3 linked regions of the Lytechinus pictus genome follow. The protein of the gene in region 1 purifies or fractionates together with the protein of each later gene. This does not show direct contact. Links are inferred from orthologs where the notes say so. Each region holds a gene or a part of one and is shown in the gene's direction. Other genes may lie near its edges.

Region 1 (6,987 bases):
AAAATGATATTTTGAGAACTTATGGAAGACACGACAATAGGTAGTCCTACTTGGCAAATCAAATCACGCGAGCGCACAGCGCAAGCTGAGAATGTTGATATTCACACTATAAAACGGACATTTTAAAAAGCACGTAAAAAAATCAATTTGTAAATCAAACAAAATAATGAAAGCTAGATGTCCGAGCTGAAATATGTTTTGCATATTGGCTTCAAAACTTGATATTTTAAGCTACATATTGAGCAAGATATATATCTCATCAAACAGGCAATGCGAGCGCGAAGCGCGAGCGAAAATTTAATGCAGTGACATGAAAGATATTTTTAAACATTATCCAAGTCTTCCCATCACCTTATTTTATTCACTCGTATTCCTCCTTTCTTTCCCCTTCTTTTTTTTCTTTCTTCCCCCCTTTTTGTCATTGTTTTTGCTCCGCCCATGGGGGGGGGGGGGGGGGGGGGGGTGGCCCCTCAGGTCCCCTTGGATCCGCCTATGCTGTATCACATAATTTCATACCGATATATGAACGACTTTACAGATAATATTTAATATTAGGAAGTGATTATTTTTATATTATGACAAAGGAGTAGATAAATTATCGTTTATAGGCAGATATTTTGAAAACGATATACAATTTTTTTGGCGAAGACTAGGCCTAAACCGCATATCATGGACTATTTTCGACTGAATTTCAATAACTGTTGAAAATAGACATTGGTAATCTTAAAACTAAATCATTGCGGTGTTTATTTTTGGAAATATCCTTTATTTTATCTTACTTCTGTTGTTCTGTACTGCCTGATATTTTTTCTGTTCCCATGATTAATTGGGCATCAATAAGTGTAAAGAAACATTTCGCCTTTATGATGGCGCTATATCGATATGATATAGCTTGCGGGATTAAATTAGCTTCATAAATAAGAGAAATATCTCTTGTCAATGATTAAAGCATGATACAAATGATTTTATCAAAACATGGGTGGTGGGCTATATGGAACGACTTGAGGAAGTATAAGGGGGCTGAACATGTATCGTATAAAATCTGAATTTGAAAATTGGTGGGCGGGGACGGAGGGGGGGGGGGGGGGTGGGGGAGAGGTGTTAATCCCCCGGCTCCAACCCCCGCTTTCGTGGCCCCTGCATAACTCGCCTATCCATTGATTATTAACAATTTTTAGTTGTCCCTAAATATCATAAGGTTTTTTTCTATTTTATTTTATTCTATTACTCTGTAAAATTTGTTATTAGAGATCAAGATATACTTCTGCTGCTACTGGCTTCTCCCGTGGCTACTATTACAACTACAGTAGTCTTACTACTACTACTACTATACCTACTACTACTACTACTACTACTACTACTACTACTACTACTACTACTACTACTACTACTACTACTACTACTACTACTACTACTACTACTACTTCTACCAATACTATACTACCACTACTACCACCACTACTAGCACTATACCACCACCACCACCACCACCACTACTACTACTACCACCACCACCACCACCACCACCACCACCACCACCACCACCACCACCACCACCACCACCACCACTACTACTACTACTACTACTACTACTACTACTACTACTACTACTACTACTACTACTACTACTACTACTACTACTACTACTACTACTACTATACTACTACTACTACTTCTACTACTACTACTATACTACTACTACTAATACTACTACTTCTTCTACTACTACTACTACTACTACTACTACTACTACTACTACTACTACTACTACTACTACTACTACTACTACTACTACTACTACTACTACTACTACTACCAGTGGCGGACCGTGACCCGGAGGAGACAAGGCATTGGGGGGGGGGGGCACTGAATTGTTTGTGAACAATGCTGTGCCCCTCCAATGCTTTGTCTCCTCCGGGTCACGGTCCGCCACTGACTACTACTACTGCTGTTGCTACTATTACTCCTTCTAATACTCCTCCCACTGTACTTCTAATATAAGGAAAGTGAGGTAAGGTGAGACATTGGTTTTTTTTTATATTTGGCACATAGGTGATAGGCCTGCAGTTATGGCTTATATTCATAGTTTCAAATTCCGAAATCAACTTCAAATTCAAATTTCAAATTCATTTATTTTTACATTTGTAAAGAAAAATAATTTAGGCCCACACTCATCGAGAATCAAATCATATATACAGAAATGGCATTTTTTGTTTACAAGGTATTATGTGCTTGTCCTCTATGTCTGTGGTCTCATCTCGATTTCAATTATCACAATTGTTTTCTCTTTTATTATTTTTGTTCACCGAAACGATATGCTTAAAGGGAAATCCAGCTTTGGCCATAAAATGTTGTGTTGGAAAGGAAAAAAATAAATTAAACAGAATGGCGAAAGTTTGAAAGAAATCGGACAAGCAATAAGAAAATTATAGCTGCTTTAAAATTGAGATCACTAATAGTATGTAGATTTCAAATTGGCAACTGGGTAAGTAAATTATGACAAGGGGCAAGGACAACTTTCCCATAAGCCATGTACTTTATTATCAGGGATTTGTGGTTTTCTTCTACGTACCCATTCCCCTGGGGCAGTAATCTAATTATAATCCAGGTAGTATATTGTTTTATGTCCTCATGAAAGAAAAATATAATTTGAAATAAAACTTTTGGGGAAAATGACATTTTAGCCATAATATGTATTGGAGTACATGGAAGAGTAGTCCTTGCCTTACATCACTATGACATCCCATATGCGGCCAATTTGAAGTCTCCATGGGTATAGTGATTACCAATATTTACAACTTTTAAAAATTCATAACTTTCTTGTTGTTTGTCCAATATTGTTCAAACTTTCACCTATCAACTTGTCTGATTTTTCTTTTTCTTATAAAAACAAGTTTTTATTTGGGTTGGATTCCCCTTTAACTTCAGGATCATTTTGAATGGTATAATTGAATTATCAAAGATAAAATGTAAGAAGAAAAAAAAAAAAAAAAAAAAGAGACATTAAACCTTTGACCAGTAAGTTTTGAAAATATGAAAATTCTCAATTATTTCACCACCAGGGTATCTTAGTTTGCTTCAGAAGTGATTTTTGTTGTTTAATGATCAATTAATATTAAAAGATTCTTTACTAAAAACCAATGAAATATTATGAAACGCACAGAGTCAACCCTAAAAAACGAATTAGAAAGTAAAAAAGGGGCCTAAGCTTTCGATCCTAGCAGAATCTTCGTCGGAGGCAAAATGACAAACATATAAAGTGGAACAACCATAATATAGACCACAAACAAGCTACAGCAACACTAGAAACAAGGAGACAAAAGGGGCATTAGTGAGTAGAGAAGACCAATCAGGTTAGTGAAGGGGATGAAAGAAAAGGAGTAGGCAGACACAAAGGGAAGTTAGTGTAAGTAAGGCCAGTAAAAGACCTCAAGCCAAGAGGGATTAAGATAATGATAAAATGATAATAATAAAAAACAAATGGCAAAACCCTCATTTGACTTTATAAATTGACAGTTTGAGAGAGAGAGAGAGGGGCCTTAGGACACGCCTGAGTGTTTTCTGTAACGATTTTTTATTTTCAAAATAAAGTCACTTTGAAGCATGATAATTACCCTTTATTTTGATACTTATTCGTCACTGTGTTTGAAGAGCATAAGTGAATATTGTAAATGACTGTAAAAAATATATATATGAAGCAACCGATTGTTGTATTTGTCCAGTTTCTCGCCCCCAAAATATGATCGACCTCTACCCCAGTCATCGGGTAATTGATGACTACTAGTATATTATTAGGTAATTTGATTGTACATGAAATGCAATAAAATTCAGCTTTTCTTTTTTCCTTTTGGTAAAATTTTCTTTCAGCTACACGAACTAAAAGAAAATCAACATATCAGCGAAAATACAAAACATACAAAAATGCTCATGTACTAATTTTTTTACCCCTATTCCCCATTTTTTTTTCTCGAACTAGGCTGTTTTTACGATACCATATCGGGGTGTGTACTATTTTAATTTTGGGGTCGAGTAAATTTACCCTAATAAAAAGGGTATTTCTGGCGGTCATTCTTCTCAGTTTTTATCATTTTTATCTATATTCATCATGCTTGGTGAGGACTTTGGAAAGGCTGAAATAGATGCCATTGAATCGGCTTCTAAACGTGTTGAAAACATGTTAAAGGTGAGACACGAAAACTTTGTATCAGCCATAATCGGCACACAGGTATCACAGGCGCACGCGATTCTTGTGTGCACTGGTCGCATAGTCTTCTGACACATTTTCGTGATAGCATAGTGCTAAATGCACATGAGCTTAGTCGCTGGATATTTTGCATTGGTTGTGCCACGTTGTAAACAAGGGTAGCAGTTATGGCGTTGGTCTGAAAAGTAGGATTATCCTTTATAATATATACAATTTTACGATGATTTCTCCACATATGGCAATTAAAAAACTGGGATTTTCCAGGCCAGGGCACCCACGGCTACATCTCAGCTGCCGACTACAGAATAATTGAAGGCACGGCGCATTATTTCAACAAATAACGTTAATTTATGAAAAATTAATACGAGGACTTACAGAATGAAGTCCTCCTACGAAACTTACAAAACGATGTGAAGTCAATTCCTCATAATTTGATGAATATCCCTCAAAATGTGTCATTTAACTCAAGCGTTGATTTTTCTTCTCGTTGACAAAATACGAAAGCCACCTTTCTAGCTCTCAAATTTTTCGTCTAATGAGCGAGAGAGGGCGCGCGATTTATCTTCATATCAAAGACACTACAATTGAAAGACTAGACACAGAAATTATCTTACACGTAAATCGATGCAAAGCATTACGCGAAGTCGGCAAAGTTTCCAATCTTTTTACTGTAAAGACTTTGGTGGAACGTTAATTGACAAACGAACGGTAGCACTTGCGGGGCTTTGTTCAAGGTACATAGAATTTTCTACATTTTTTGTTTAATTTGTCATCGTTTTGAATATTTTCCAAAAAGTATTATCGTCAGCAAAAATAATAAAAAAGTATGTTTTTTAAGTTATTGCATTTATTGGGGTCTCTATTTTATCAAACAATTATTGGAATTGCGCATACAATAAATCATGAATCTAGTTTAAAAAATACCACCAAGCTGAATTAAGGTTGCGAACTGTATTAGCGCCACCAACGACCTTCCTTTTATTTCCGTGGAAGAGACGTGCGAAGCCACTTTCCAGGCGGAGGTAAGCGATTTTGCTCTTTTTTTTTTTAAAATTAAAAAATATGTTAAAAATTGATAAAGGAACGCTTTCTACCAGAAAAAGCCCTGGTGAGTAGCGGAATGGTTTCGGCTAATATCATTCACGTTATGAAGCGATGTTAACGACAACTCTAAAATCCACTACAAAAACACGTTGGTTGTGCGAGGTTCGTAAAGCATATATACTAACCTCGCAATAGTGTGAGTGGGCCAGGGCTCTTTTTTAATTTCAAAATCCAGGCCTGAGCCAAGGTAGCCTGGGGTAGTCTTGGGTAGCCAGGAGGCTTCTTGAGAGTAAAAATCATTTACTAACGTATGCTTACTCTCAATGAAGCCAGGGACTCCTTCCTATTCATCTGCGTGTACCGCCAAAAAATCTGAAACTTTCGCCCCCAAGATTTCTACTTTCCTTCTAAAACATCTAGCCATAAATCATGTACATGGGATAAAACTTCATTTCCGACATTTCTACGCTCTCGGTTTTATTTTTAAACAAGAATTCATGAAAAAATGAATAAAATATTGTGAAAAGACGGAAGAGACTTGCCCGATGTTTACACCGCCATCTTGTTTCTTATTGTACTTCCCCAACGTTACGCGACGCTAGCGTCCGTAACTTTGGAGACAGTGTTTCATCTTTGTTTTTCCCTCAGTGTTGCCATCCAGCACGAATCACAGATCAGTGAGTCTGACTTAGCCAGGCGGCTTCTTGAGAGTAAAAATCATTTACTAACGTAGGCTTACTCTCAATGAAGCCAGGGAGTCCTTCCTATTCACCTACACGAAGGACCCCAAAACCTGAAACTTTCACCCCCGAGATTTCTACTTTCCTTCTAAAAGATCTAGCTCTAAATCATGTACATGGGATAAAACTTCATTTCCGACATTTCTACGCTCTCGTTGTTATTTTTAAACAAGAATTCATAAAAAAAATGAGAAAAATATCGTGAAAAGACGGAAGAGACTTGCCCGATGTTTACGCCGCCATCTTGTTTCTTATTGTACTTCCCCAACGTTACGGACGCGAGCGTCGCGTAACGTTGCAATTGACAAATCAGGGGGAAATTGAATCAATACGAAATTTGCAAAAGGCCAGTTGACTTACATAAGATAATCCGTCGGTCATGAGAGCCAATCGGACTAATGTGTAAAAGTCAGGACAGCTTAAATTTGACCGAACTCGCGATCGTTACTTCGGGTCATCGCAGTTCTAGTTTCCAACAATCCCAATTCCTAGACTCTTAGCAGGTCTCTTGATTGCTAATAACCTCTGTGAAATTACATGTTTCAAAGTGAAAACACGCAGTTTACGTCTGGTCGGTTAGTCTACTAACTATTGCTCAGCTATACAGTCGACCTCCCAGACATAACGGCGTCTATTACATAAAACTCCCAGGCATGCAGCCAAGTGAAAGGCTTGAATTCCTTCTCTGTTCTGAGATTAGCCTTGATTTCCCCATTATTTGTCAATGAAAGGTCGCTTTAAAGGGGAGGTTCACCCAACAAAAAGTTTATTGTGAATATAACAGAAAGAAGTAATGAAAAATATTGGTGAAGGTTTGGGGAAAATCAATCAAAGATTTAAAAATTTATTAGAATTTTTTATTTGTGATATCATATGTGAGCAGATTCCCATGTATCGTGAATTGAAAAATGTCATTTTCTCAGAAAAATGAAATGGGTTTTAATGTACATACATGTACCTTCAGTCTATCAGCAGACAAATTATTTCACACCTGCTCCG
Region 2 (7,152 bases), on another chromosome or scaffold:
ACCCTAAAGAGCAATGACGCCAGAAAGGGTACTCCAGGATCTCCAAACAGATCAGCAGGAGCAAAGTCTAAACAGGTAATTAATTAGTCTATTAAAAAGGTATTTTTTCTAAACCTGTAGTGAATAAAACTTTTTACTTTCCTGCAAATAGACAGGTGGATGTGAAAAAATACTAATTAATCTTCTTTCATGAAAATATCAAATTGTAATTCTATTATTCATACTCCTTAAATACCATTCCATAATAATTATTGTGAAGGTTACTACATGATTGGTATATGAAAGCTTTTTATTTCATTTAAATTGATGATTTTCTGTATCAGATTATTACAAAAATTAACCTTGTGAGCTTAATATTGAAGCTGTCTAGTTCCATCTCTTTTAAATCATAATCATGATAAACATAAAATATTCCCTCTTTTTCTTTAGACTACCAACTCTCCTGGAAATTCTGGAAAGTCCAGACAAGCTCCTGGAACCAAGACTGGAGTAGGGGCGTCGGCCATCAGCAGGAAAACCACCACACCCCCACGAAAGGCGACTCCACCCAAACCAGCCCAACCCTCAAAAGAAACCTCAAAAGCACAACCACCGACCAAGAAGAAGGTGGAGGAGAAATCAACTACTGAAAAGGAAGATCAAGCCAAGATGGATGAAGAGAAGGAAGAGAAGAAGATGGAGGAAAAGAAAATGGAGAAGGATAAGGAGGCCCAAGGAGAGGCATCTGCAGAGAAAGAGACTCCTGAGAATGAAGAGGGTGAGAAGGATGAAGATGAAAGTGATAACAAAGATGGGATGGAGAAAGAGGAAAAAACGGAGGAGAAGTCCGAAGCAGAGATGAAGTCTCTGAGTGGTACAGAACCAACATCGGAGGACATGTCAGCAGAGAGTGAAGTGAAAGAAGAGGTGAAGGAGGAAGAAGGTAAAGTGGAAGAATATGGAAAGGAGATTGAGATGAAACCCAACGAGGATCAAGAGCAAGGAACTTTATCATGATGAGCTGCATAAAGAATTGGAAATTATTTATTAAAAAAAACTATGGAAAGCCATCACAGCCATAATTCACCATCTAGAATATATGTGTTGCTGAGTGACGTAACTTTCAGAGAGGTGTATTGCTCCTGAAATGACAAACTATGTAACTCAAAATTGAAATATTCAAGAAAGTTACAAAGCATTGATGCCATAACACCAGAAATAACGAGTTGTTTCTTTGGGGTGATGTTGTAGCTTCATTTTGTAAGATAGAGAGAGAGACCTTAGACAGTATATATCTTTTGGTGTTCAGTTGGTCATCTGTTTCTTCACAATAAATAAGTGATTTTGAGATAAGAGGTCTATTAACCCAAGCAATACTATGCCTTATCAATTCAACCAATCAGCATGCTTTGGGTTTTTTTTTTTTTTTTTACAAAGTGCCATTACATCTGCCTTTGATTGACAAAATATTACCTATCTAGCCTTTCTTAGTTCGGATTGATATTTGAATATCATAATACAGTATAAAAACCTCAAACAATTGCTGATTCTTGGACAAGAATCTGTGTTCAGGTTAACAATATCCTTGTATGTTTAACCTAAATGATAGATATGATTATCCATATCCTCCTGTTTTGAGTAATTGTGTTGTAAAGATGTATACAATGCACAGATATTAATCCGTCAGATATATATCTTACAAGTGATTCTAGTTATTATGTTGTGATTTTACTTATTCACTCAAAGAAAATATGTTTATATCTTTCTCTTACTCTTACTCTCTCTCTTTCCCTCCTTCATTCATTATGGGTAGTGCAAATAGATACCTTTCTGAATTTTGTTAGATGCATATATTTTTTAATTTTTCACATATTCATCTTGACCATCTCCATAGAGTTATGATGTTTATATATATTGCTTTCTGTTCTATGAATGCATATTTGTTGTTATTTTGTGCATTATGACAAATTAATTTTCTAAAGACAATATATCCATTATTGGATTTAGTAAAAAAATAACAGATCTTGAAAATAATAACAGAGGGATTCCAAAATTAATTTTCTTGTAGAGGCATGTCTCAATTTAAAAATAAAAATGCCTCGCCTGGATCCAAGCAGCAGCTTGTCATTGTTCAAAACTCACCTACACCCGACATCTGGATTTATTTTTAATACATGAAATTTAGAGTGTAGACTTTCAACCTGTCTTCATCATTGGATATCAATAAAAGAGATTTAAAGCCTTTAGGCCTATATATTCAGAATCTTTTTTTTTTATGTCACAAATAGATACATTTTAAAGATAGTATTTGATTTGGGATCTTGAATAATACAACTTGTAATCCGTATGTAATTCTTGATAAAGTTAAGCTTTATCTAGAAATTCTGTATGATTGTCATACAAGTCGTCAATATGATTCAAGTGTCCTTAACTCATGAAATACAAAGTATTTTTATGATCTGCCAGAAATGTGATTTTTATTTGTAAAAACTGTTGATATGGAGTATACACTGTCATGTATCACTATGTTAAACTGTGATGCAAATTTATATTTTGTACATGAAAATTTACACATGCACCAATTTGAAATTGATGATATATTTTTATTGCCTTATACACTCATCATGATCATGGCCATTTTTCAAATTATTTCAAATCAAATCTAATTTGATAATGTATGTTATGCTTTGATCACAATTTTGTAATGTTGTATCATACTACATGAACTTTGAATTTTAACTTATTGTACTTTGTAAATAAACAACATGAATAAAAAAAATGTTAGTGTTTCATTGATGATGAGCTAGTTGCATGACAACTAAAACAGCAAATATTTATATGAAAAGTGTGAAAGAGTCAGAGAGAGAGAGAGAGAGGGGGGGGGGGAGAGAAACAACATGTGGACTATCTACCAAGTACAGTATATAAGTACATAAATATGTATGTATATGTACATGTATACTTTTTTTTAGAATGTACATGTATACTTGGTAGATAGTCCACATGTTTGATCAATATCAATAAAAATATGGTAGAAACTTTCATGCTTATATATTCTTTTATTACTTTGTTTTATTCTATAAATTAGAGAAGGGGGGGATAGGTAGTGAGGTTTATAGAGGAAGGGTGCAGATGAATGCATAGAGAAAAATCTAGAAAGACAGAAGGACATCGACAGGGGGGGGGGGCTACAGCTAGAGAAGAAAACTAGAGGGAAATGGCTAATTGAGAAAGAGACGGACACTAACAGAGAGAGACGGGTCTATAAGGCAGCATGTATAATAGGCCTGTACGAGTCAAGGTGGTAAAAAGGGTCATTTAAAATATGCTTATTCTCAGTAATGAATTATGGCAGGGCCCTGGGAATGATTTTTTTACTAGGGGTGTCGATGTAAATTTGAAAAAAAAGTTATATAACAAAACGAAGGTCATTTTGTCGCACAGAAATTTGACAAGGAAAAAAATAAAAACAAAAAGGGTTTTCACTACAAATTAAATGAAAAACATAAATTATTCCTTCTTTTTCTTTAGACTACCAATTCTCCTGGAAAGATCATCTAGGTCCAGAGAATTTGAAAAGCAATTAAAAAAAAGAAAAAATAAAGGCTTCTCGACAACATGAAGGTCATTTTGTCCAAGAGAAATTTGACAAGCAAAAAAAAAAAAAAAAGGGGGCCGGGGGCTCACTACTAATTATTTTTCCACACCTACCAGAATTCCTGGGGAGTGTTTCATCAACATTTTCATCCGACAAGTTGTCAGATCTGACATCTTTCTCTGATGTTGATTGGCTGAGAGGTACTGTTACTATGGTAACTGTCGGATAAAATGGGACTTGTCGGATAAAACGTCCGACAAGTACTTTCATGAAACGCCCTCCCGGGGGTGCTTCCTACATGTATGGAGAATAAAACACCCAGCACCCCTTACGAAAATCTTGGGGGTGCTTCACCCCCGCACCCCCGCTTCCCAGGGCCATGAATTATGGGCACACTATACCACAGGGTATCCTAATTTGTAGATAAATCCCGAATAAATATACTAGGTCTGAACCCGGGGGCATGAAAGGATCAGACAGACCACTTGACCTCGACTCACAGTAATCAGTAGTGTCTCCCTCTTTTGGGCAAAGCTTTATAATTATAGTGCTCCCCTCGCATAAAATGTCTTCCGGGATTCTGCTTGCATTTGGGAGTGAGAAGCAGACGCGAAAATCAGTCGTTGAAAACATCATTAATTCTTCGTCTTACCTCTAACTTGTTAAATCTAAAAGAAGATGTCTTCTTTAAAAGAATTTGCTGTAAGTTGACCTTTTGATGAAGTAAAAAGTATAATATTTGTCTTGCATTTCTAGGTTCGAGTTCCGAACAGTGAAGTCTGTCAGTGTGACGTTTTTTTGTTGTTTGTAATCAATATGATTGAAATGAATAAGGTACCGTCGTATCTAATGAATGAAACAGTGACAGTGAGTTTGGTGATCCAGTCAGTGGACTGTATCATGGTAACTAATAGCATAAGACTATAGGCCTAACTAATTACTAATCGAGTCAGAATTAGAATGCCCAAACACTCCAAACTTAGTTAACAACAATTTGGGAGTAATTTAATTTTGGCTTAATTGTTTAGGGAACCTCTTGTCCATTTGTACGCAAGCACTTGTGAAGACAGTTGTGTACCATACCACTATTCACTAACAAGTATTGCGAGGTTCCATGCACTACGATTCGTGTCTACGCAGTGGATTTTTTAGTTGTCGGTTAACATTGCTTCATAACAGTTTAACACAAATAATGTGAGCCGAAACTCATTCCGTTGGCGTTACTCACCAGGGCTTTTTCTGGTGAAAAGTGTTCCATTTTCAATTTTAAAATAAAAAAGAGCAAAATTGCTTACCTCGGCCTGGAAAGTGGCTTCGCGTGTCTCTTCGACGGAAATAAAAGGAAGGTCGTTGGTGGCGCTAGTACAATTCACAACCTTAATTCAGCTTGGCGGCATTTTTTAGACTAGATTCTTGATTCATTGTATATGCGCAATTCCAATGATTGTTTGATAAAATAGAGACACCAATATTCAATAAATGCAATAACTTATAAAACATACTTTTTATATTATTTTGCTGACGATAATACTTTTTGGAAAATATTCAAAGCGACAATTAAACAAAAAATATAGAAAATTCTATGTACCTTGAATGAAGCCCCGCAAGTGCTACCATTCGTTTGTCATTAACGTTCTACCAAAGTCTTTACAGTAAAAAGATTGGACACTTTGCCGACTTACTTTGTGTAACGCTTTGCATCGATTTACGTGTAAAATAGTTTTTGTGCTTAGTCTTTCCCTTGTAGTGTCTTTGATATGAAGATAAATCGTGCGACCTCTTTAGCTCATTAGACGCAAATTTGGGAAATCGCAAGCTCGCTCCGTATTTTGTCAACGAGAAGAAAATTATACTCTTAAATGACGCTATTTGAGGGATATTCATCATATTAGGGGGAATTGACTTTACATCGTTTGGTAAGTTTCGTAGGAGGACTTGATTCTGTAAATCCTCTTATGAAATTTGCGGGAGTTTGTTGCAATTTTGCATGCGCCGTGCCTTCAATTTTCCTGTACACGGCGGCAGTAATGCACCCATGGGTGGTTGTGTACAAGTGAATAATAATGTTCTTAATCGATCGCTAGAGGGTATTCATTTGTCTCGCAATCTACTATGGTCAACAAATTTGTGATCACTCTCGCAAAAAGTGTTCACTAGCTTTCTAGGAAATTTGTGATCACTCTCGCAAAAAGTGTTCACTAGCTTACAAGTTCACGAGCTTTCGAGTGCCGCTGCAACTCTTTATCAAGTGAAGAAAATTATCTTACTAACCTTCCCAAAATGTGGCCAAGTTAATGTGCAGTTTATGCAGTGGGCACGTCATGGTCTAGTGGTTCTGACTCTCACCTTTCAAACAGAAGTTTGTGGGTTCGAATCGTAGCCATGACGTGTTTTCCTTCAGCAAGAAATTTATCCACACTGTGCTGCACACGGCCCAGGTGAGGTTAATGGGTACCGGCAAGAAGTAATTCCTCAAAAAGCTGTGCGCACCAGAATCAGTAGACTAGCTTAGCCGGGGTAATATAGGAGTGCCTTGAGCACCTAGCAAGGTGGATATGTGCGCTATACAAATCCTATATTATTATGTCTAAAATAAGGATACAAGATTCTGCTTCCTTATTTTGTAGCTTGGTACAAGAGTCTATTATACCCCCAAACTGGCCAACTTGATCTATAAACTTCTCTGAGATAATAAAACATTTCTGAAAGAGAAAAAAATTACTCAGAAGGTCAAAAAACAAAAATTCCTTTCTAATTTCACCAGGCTTGTTGCACACGTGTTGTCTGTAATATGGTGGATGGCTGTTGATAATGACAATAAATTGAGGGCAGTATTGCAGAAATTTATTTAAAGATGTTAAAGAAAATTACAATGTTTCAACTTACCCCGCGTTCCAACTAACCCCGGTCTCCCCTACTGTCCATAAGGTACACTCTTGCTTGGGTCAGGAAAAGGTGACGTCACTATAAAAATTAAGATTCAATGCATTGCATGCTCTTAGTAAATGCAGACGCGCAGGGCTAACCGGATAAATGCACATTACCATTAATCGATATTCTCCCCAATCATTTAACACAGGGTTTACCCTCCAAAAATAAAAAGTTATATTGTACAACTTTTTGAAATGAGATCACGTGGCACCAATCTAGCCAATCACAGCTCGTATTTTACTACCATTATTTATCTATATAATGCAGTAGCAGCCAAATAGCTAATGTTCAGAGCTTAAACACTGGTGTCTTCACTCTCGTGCCTTAGAAGTTTTAGTATTCAGGGCCAGCTCATCTCTATCATCTTAAGACTACTGGCCTTTGGAGAGTAAAAGAAAAAATTCAAATACAACCTTACTTTCCATTTAGCCTGGTAGATGTTCTCGTCAAGAAGATATCAGTCAGATCGCTATAAACATGCCTGGAAAAGTTATAGTTCTGAGATTGAGATAAAGTGTGTGCAGGTGACCCACTACCATGAATGTTTATATACCTATGTCCTTAAAGGGGCTTTCACAATCGCTCTTGCGATCGTTTGCGGTCATTTGGTCACAATATATGTTGCACACAATCGCAACGGTTGT
Region 3 (7,325 bases), on another chromosome or scaffold:
CATTGGTGAGTACGATTGATTTTGGTTTCAAAAAACCAAAAAACATTTCTGAATTCTTTCTAATACAGTCTTTTAATTGCCAAATGTTGCCAGATATGGATAAGTGTACAAATTACACAAACTTAGTGAGAAAAGTGAAGAAATTTTGACTTACCTTGTCGGGTTGAGTCGCTCGCGAGGGGTTGGATCAATGTAAACATGGAAAACTGCATATCGCACGAAAGAGAAAATAGTTTAGGTTAATGATATGCCGAGATTTTGGAAAACGACCCAATCACTTTTAAATGAGAATGGTATCAATTCGCACATGTCGAATCACCGATAGCTAGAGAAGCACCGCGGCTGCAGCAAAATCCTCCGCACACTACGTACAAAATATAGTACGAGCGCGAGAGCGCCATCTTGTGGTGAATGACGATGCCTATTTACAACCAACTGCGGTTTTCCACCGATCTCCGCACCTCAGAGGAAGGGAATCTACAAGTACAACTTACCATCAAAGGAGTACAGACAAACACCCCCCCCCCCCCCAACACACAAACACTCAACTCGCGTAATGATGTGCTGAATCACCTGCATGATTTACCCGTCAATTAAGCTCATATGTAATCACAACACCTCGAACATGAAAACGTGAAATTCAAATGCTACATTAGTGCCTAAAAATCGCACACGCCGAGATCTTCGCCTACACGTGATCGATTATTTGAAGTAATTTTTATGTTTTGGGCAAATTTTAAGATTTTAACAGTGAAAGGTTAAGGTAAAAGAGATAATTTCAAGTTCTCACCCAATCTCTATTCTTGATTTTCCCTCTTTCTTTTAGTTCTATTCACAATGGGCCGGCTAAAAAGTGTGCCGAATACAGCGTATTTCGTCGGGGCCGGAGTAGAGTCAGCCAACAATAAGCTAGCCAACAAGTACAGCAAGCCAGCCAACAGTTCCAGCCAACAATATCGCGATGTAAGATAGATCAGATACAGGATTTTGCGCACGAAGAGAAGCGTGCATTCTTGTACAAATCAAACAAACGGGGTCAGGGTGGGGTTTCCCTTCTTTCAATTTGTAAAGAAAAACAACGGGCTAGTGCTTTAATTTTAGTAGCCCACACCCCTATATACTCTATGTGTTTTCGTATATTGAGGAGTAAATTTCAACTAAAGTCCTCTTTATAAACTACAATTGGAAGATTGCTCCTGAAATATATTTTGGGTGTGTGTAGGGGGGTTTCCCTTCTTTCAATTTGTAAAGAAAAACAATGGGCTAGTGCTTTAGTTTTAGTAGCCCACACCCCTATATACTCTATGTTTTTTCGTGTATTGAGGAGTAAATTTCAACCAAACGTCCTCTTTATAAAACACAATTCGAAGATTGCTCCTGAAATATATTTTTGGTGTGTGGAGGGGGGTTTCCCTTCTTTCAATTTGTAAAGAAAAACAAGGGGCTAGTGCCTTCGTTTTAGTAGCCCACGCTCATATACATTCCTATATATTCCACGTTTTTATATATATTGAGGAATAAATTTGAACTAAAAGTCCTCTTTATAAAATACAATTGGAAGATTGCTCCTGAAATTTATTTTGGGTGTGTGTAGGGGGGTTTCCCTTCTTTCAATTTGTGAAGAAACACAACGGGCTAGTGCTTTAATTTTAGTAGCCCACACCCCTATATATTCCACGTTTTTATATATATTGAGGAGTAAATTTGAACTAAAAGTCCTCTTTATAAAATACAATTGGAAGATTGCTCCTGAAATATATTTTGGGTGTGTAGAGGGGGGTTTCCCTTCTTTCAATTTGTAAAGAAAAACAAGGGGCTAGTGCCTTCGTTTTAGTAGCCCACGCTCATATACATTCCTATATATTCCACGTTTTTATATATATTGAGGAATAAATTTCAACTAAAAGTCCTCTTTATTAAATACAATTGGAAGATTGCTCCTGAAATATATTTTGGGTGTGTGTAGGGGGGTTTCCCTTATTTCAATTTGTAAAGAAAAACAACGGGCTAGTGCTTTAGTTTTAGTAGCCCACACCCCTATATACTCTATGTTTTTTCGTATATTGAGGAGTAAATTTCAACAAAAAGTCCTCTTTATAAATACAATTGGAAGATTGCTCCTGAAATATATTTTGGGTGTGTAGAGGGGGGTTTCCCTTCTTTCAATTTGTAAAGAAAAACAACGGGCTAGTGCTTTAGTTTTAGTAGCCCTTACCCCTATATACTCTATGTTTTTATGTATATTGAGGAGTAATTTTCAACAAAAAGTCCTCTTTATAAAATACAATTGAAAGATTGCTCCTGAAATATATTTTGGGTGTGTGTAGGGGGGTTTCCCTTCTTTCAATTTGGCTACTAAAACTAAAACACTAGCCTGTTGTTTTTCTTTACAAATTGAAAGAAGGGAAACCCCCCTACACACACCCAAAATATGTTTCAGGAGCAATCTTCCAATTGTATTTTATAAAGAGGACTTTTAGTTGAAATTTACTCCTCAATATACGAAAACACATAGAGTATATAGGGGTGTGGGCTACTAAAACTAAAGCACTAGCCCGTTGTTTTTCTTTACAAATTGAAAGAAGGGAAACCCCCCTACACACACCCAAAATATATTTCAGGAGCAATCTTCCAATTGTATTTTATAAAGAGGACTTTTAGTTGAAATTTACTCCTCAATATACGAAAACACATAGAGTATATAGGGGTGTGGGCTACTAAAACTAAAACACTAGCCCGTTGTTTTTCTTTACAAATTGAAAGAAGGGAAACCCCCCTACACACACCCAAAATATATTTCAGGAGCAATCTTCCAATTGTATTTTATAAAGAGGACTTTTAGTTGAAATTTACTCCTCAATATACGAAAACACATAGAGTATATAGGGGTGTGGGCTACTAAAACTAAAACACTAGCCTGTTGTTTTTCTTTACAAATTGAAAGAAGGGAAACCCCCCTACACACACCCAAAATATATTTCAGGAGCAATCTTCCAATTGTATTTTATAAAGAGGACTTTTAGTTGAAATTTACTCCTCAATATACGAAAACACATAGAGTATATAGGAGTGTGGGCTACTAAAACTAAAACACTAGCCTGTTGTTTTTCTTTACAAATTGAAAGAAGGGAAACCCCCCTACACACACCCAAAATATGTTTCAGGAGCAATCTTCCAATTGTATTTTATAAAGAGGACTTTTAGTTGAAATTTACTCCTCAATATACGAAAACACATAGAGTATATAGGGGTGTGGGCTACTAAAACTAAAGCACTAGCCCGTTGTTTTTCTTTACAAATTGAAAGAAGGGAAACCCCCCTACACACACCCAAAATATATTTCAGGAGCAATCTTCCAATTGTATTTTATAAAGAGGACTTTTAGTTGAAATTTACTCCTCAATATACGAAAACACATAGAGTATATAGGGGTGTGGGCTACTAAAACTAAAGCACTAGCCCGTTGTTTTTCTTTACAAATTGAAAGAAGGGAAACCCCCCTACACACACCCAAAATATATTTCAGGAGCAATCTTCCAATTGTATTTTATAAAGAGGACTTTTAGTTGAAATTTACTCCTCAATATACGAAAACACATAGAGTATATAGGGGTGTGGGCTACTAAAACTAAAACACTAGCCTGTTGTTTTTCTTTACAAATTGAAAGAAGGGAAACCCCCCTACACACACCCAAAATATATTTCAGGAGCAATCTTCCAATTGTATTTTATAAAGAGGACTTTTAGTTGAAATTTACTCCTCAATATACGAAAACACATAGAGTATATAGGGGTGTGGGCTACTAAAACTAAAACACTAGCCCGTTGATTTTTGGCTCGAATGAATATCTATGGCCTGCCACTAGTGATTAGGTCCGTGTAGCCCTGACCCCGTTTGTTTGATTTGTACAAGAATGCACGCCTCTCTTCGTGCGCAAAATCCTGTATCTGATCTATCTTATATCGCGATATTGTTGGCTGGAACTGTTGGCTGGCTTGCTGTTGGCTGGCTTATTGTTGGCTCACTTGACATAGGCTTCGTCGGGACAACAAAGGCCAAAGGGAAGTCAATAATAATTAGTAGTCTAGCTATCTATACTGTTTCCCTTTTTGTAAGAAATAAAATGCAAATACTAAAGGAGTCAAATGGAAAATTATATCAAATACTAAGATTCTATCGAATTTGAATTACGAGTAGATCTAGAGTACTGTATTTTTTATATTTAGTTTAAATATATATTTTTTTATATCTGATCAGCATAATTAAAAAAAGGTCTAACAATTTAGTGTTTGCGTGATAAAGACTACCGGTACATGTAACATACATACTTGTCCGGCCCTAAAAAGGGGGTAAGGAGGAAGATGGCAGAACAAATTGTCAACAAATTGTCGAAAGATAATTTCAACGCAGACGAATGTAAGTATAACGTATTAATCGGTAAATTAGGTTACCTTTTCGCTCGGATGATCTTGGTTTGGTACTCAAATAAAAAGAATGAATGAGTGACTCCACCTCAAACTCGGTCTAGCACAGAGGAGACGGCATTACAGTTTCTGTCGTGTGCAATTTTTAATGAATGCAAGTGAATAGGCGATATCATGTTTCCATGACGTATGCATTATAATACTACATGAGCTAAATCGCCGGATCCGTGAGCTGAGTTGCACCGATCTGTATAGTTCAGTCAGCAAAATACCGCGATTGGCACATCAAGCTAACTTGAAGAGTATGCCACTCTAGGCGACACCGCAATACTTACCCGTGTTAATAAAGTGGGACTCCGCTCACGCGCGTTTGGGCCTCCCTAGCTTAGAACTAAGCACTAATATCACCTTAAATTAAAAACTAAATCTACAAGGTAGGCCTATGTATAATCTATTTAGTAATTTGATAATGTTTAAACGGTACTCACCAGTTCTTTTGATGTATTTTCTCCAGAATTCCCACGGATTTGTCCCAAATCTTGCGACAAACCACGTCGCGGTAGACAGCTGTACATTTTTTTTTATTTATAAATAAAGCGCCCCTTACGATAGTTGTTAACAACGCGGCCAAATCGTTAGGTTTTTTGCACTGTGTCCAAGGCTTTTTTATTTTGTTTGATTTTTTATTTTTTAATAAATATTTTGTTCAATAGCGATTTTTACGTCAAATATTAAATTTATATCACAAAATATTTTTTAATTGTAGAAATATACATAATATTATGCAATAATTTATTCTATATATATTTTATAATAAAATTTATAATTGTTGCGGTCTTTAAAAAAGGATAGTCGATTGATCAGGTGATGACCACACGTATCACTAACCCAGAGAGCTCCCGCCCGCGCAGCGGGCGGGAGCCCAGAAGCTTACCGTGTATTTTACCATTGCCACCGGACTAGGGTGATTTATGGTCTAAATATTTCTCCAAATGAATTGTGAAAACGGAAAGTATACAATTACCACGATTATATGGATGAAGGTCTAACGAGTGGCAGATTCCTGACATCTGGGCACAGTCTGGAACCTCAAAAAAACGAAAAGTTCTCTCCTTCTACCCAGTCTCGATCGGCCATTTTGTTACGATTTTTAACAAAATGGCCGATCGAGACGGGGTAGAAGGAGAGAACTTTTCGTTTTTTTGAGGTTCCAGACTGTGCCCAGATGTCAGGAATCTGCCACTCGTTGGACCTTCATCCATATAATCGTGGTAATTGTATACTTTCCGTTTTCACAATTCATTTGGAGAAATATTTAGACCATAAATCACCCTAGTCCGGTGGCAATGGTAAAATACACGGTAAGCTTCTGGGCTCCCGCCCGCTGCACGGGCGGGAGCTCTCTGGGTTAACGTATCACGTGATCTGAAAATCAGCTTCATACCGCTTTGATCGCACTCGACGGTGACCGGACTGACTGCCAAAAAAAGATCGAAAAATGACTCAAATGTAAGTTTCCCTTTATTTTATTAAATTCAAATTAGGAATAGGAATATATTCAATGGGCAATCTTTTAATAAATGATAAACAAACGAGGACAAAACTCATATTTTGGGAGTAATATCATACTTGGGTGCAGGAAACAGTACGGTTAGAAGTTCTAACCTGTTTTTAACGCATTGTCGCCTATGAGGTCCATACATGCTAATGTTTGGACCTCATTGGTACTAGGAGTGGAGTATGCTACGTTTGGAGTGGCTCGAAGTATTATTAATTGATTTTTAATTTATTTGTGAAGAAGTAGAGTAAAGTGCCCTAATATCGGACACCCAGTCTGGCTGGTCCCAGTTAACATAACATGGACCAGGTTAAGCACCTGGCCTGGCCCTGGGGCCCGTTTCTCAACACCGTCATAAGTCTAAGTCTAACTTCTTGACTAAATCGAAGATAGTGAGCTACTTGTCCGCTAACCGTTTCACGAAGCCCTCTTTGCCAAGATCGGGGACAACAACCTCACTAAATATTTATGACACCTCCGAACCTGTCATAACTTATTTCGTAATGACATAGTGACATCACGTGGGTAGACTATGACAGGCAAAAGTGCCTCGAAATTTGAAAATTATAATCTTACGTAATCATTCATAGAAGTTGAAATTACATTGCAAAACAGGTGAGATACATGTAGATCATTCAAGACAATAATAATTGTAATGCACAGAAAGTTTAAAAACTGTTGGTAAAACGCAACAAAACCATTCATTTTGAAAAAGTAAAATAATTGAATCGATAAAGATTCTACCATGTCAGGTCATCCATAACTGGACTCGTATTCGTTGTTTTCAGACCCTTATCAACATTTTGATAAATTCTATCTCTAATTTATGCAAAGAATTTGTCAAATCGTGTGTTTCGGTATATAAAATTATAAAAATTTATATGTTAAACTATATTTTGATGATGTTTGGAACCATAAATAAACGTATAATTATTATTATTTTACAAAGAAAACAATTGTTGTTTACTTTCGTAAGCTATCAAAATTTAGTATCCCGGGGATACCCATCTCAATGTCCACATGTGATTTTTTAGTCATTAAATGAATTATTCATAATTTCATTTTCTCAGCAATTGAATGCTCCAGTCTTCATGGTTTAAGTATGCATGGTACATATTTTGCCTCTGCTATCATTTTGATTAGATGTATTTCCAAATTAATCACAATAATTGCAGTTTTATCGTATTTTTGCTTTAAAAAATAATGCTATTTTATGACTAAGGCTACGTCTCGTCTGCTCTTTCTACCGATATTATCGATATCAAGGGATACTAGTTAGGAAGCCCTTCGTGAAACGGTAAAAAATTGTAAGATTGGAACTAACTCCGTGGTCGGTGGATAA

What was found. Proteins that work in one complex are often made in the same cells at the same time.
Region 2: the proteins of exocyst complex component 3-like (region 1) and exocyst complex component 5-like purify together in Homo sapiens (affinity purification with mass spectrometry; 7 studies listed by BioGRID and IntAct, counting the BioPlex papers as one, with this or other methods). This does not show direct contact. The link is inferred for Lytechinus pictus from reciprocal best matches to the Homo sapiens genes EXOC3 and EXOC5.
Region 3: the proteins of exocyst complex component 3-like (region 1) and exocyst complex component 8-like purify together in Homo sapiens (affinity purification with mass spectrometry; 5 studies listed by BioGRID and IntAct, counting the BioPlex papers as one, with this or other methods). This does not show direct contact. The link is inferred for Lytechinus pictus from reciprocal best matches to the Homo sapiens genes EXOC3 and EXOC8.

What each region holds. Positions count from the first base shown.
Region 1 is NC_087245.1:22,446,137-22,453,123, forward strand, and holds the start of exocyst complex component 3-like, read left to right. Parts: upstream 1-3,975; 5' UTR 3,976-4,105; coding exon 4,106-4,183; intron 4,184-6,987. UniProt on the Homo sapiens protein: Component of the exocyst complex involved in the docking of exocytic vesicles with fusion sites on the plasma membrane.
Region 2 is NC_087251.1:13,169,335-13,176,486, forward strand, and holds the start of exocyst complex component 5-like, read left to right. Parts: upstream 1-4,123; 5' UTR 4,124-4,255; coding exon 4,256-4,279; intron 4,280-7,152. Other genes in the region: neurofilament medium polypeptide-like, read left to right, coding at 1-75, 430-996. UniProt on the Homo sapiens protein: Component of the exocyst complex involved in the docking of exocytic vesicles with fusion sites on the plasma membrane.
Region 3 is NC_087258.1:23,503,471-23,510,795, reverse strand, and holds the start of exocyst complex component 8-like, read left to right. Parts: upstream 1-4,296; 5' UTR 4,297-4,362; coding exon 4,363-4,417; intron 4,418-7,325. UniProt on the Homo sapiens protein: Component of the exocyst complex involved in the docking of exocytic vesicles with fusion sites on the plasma membrane.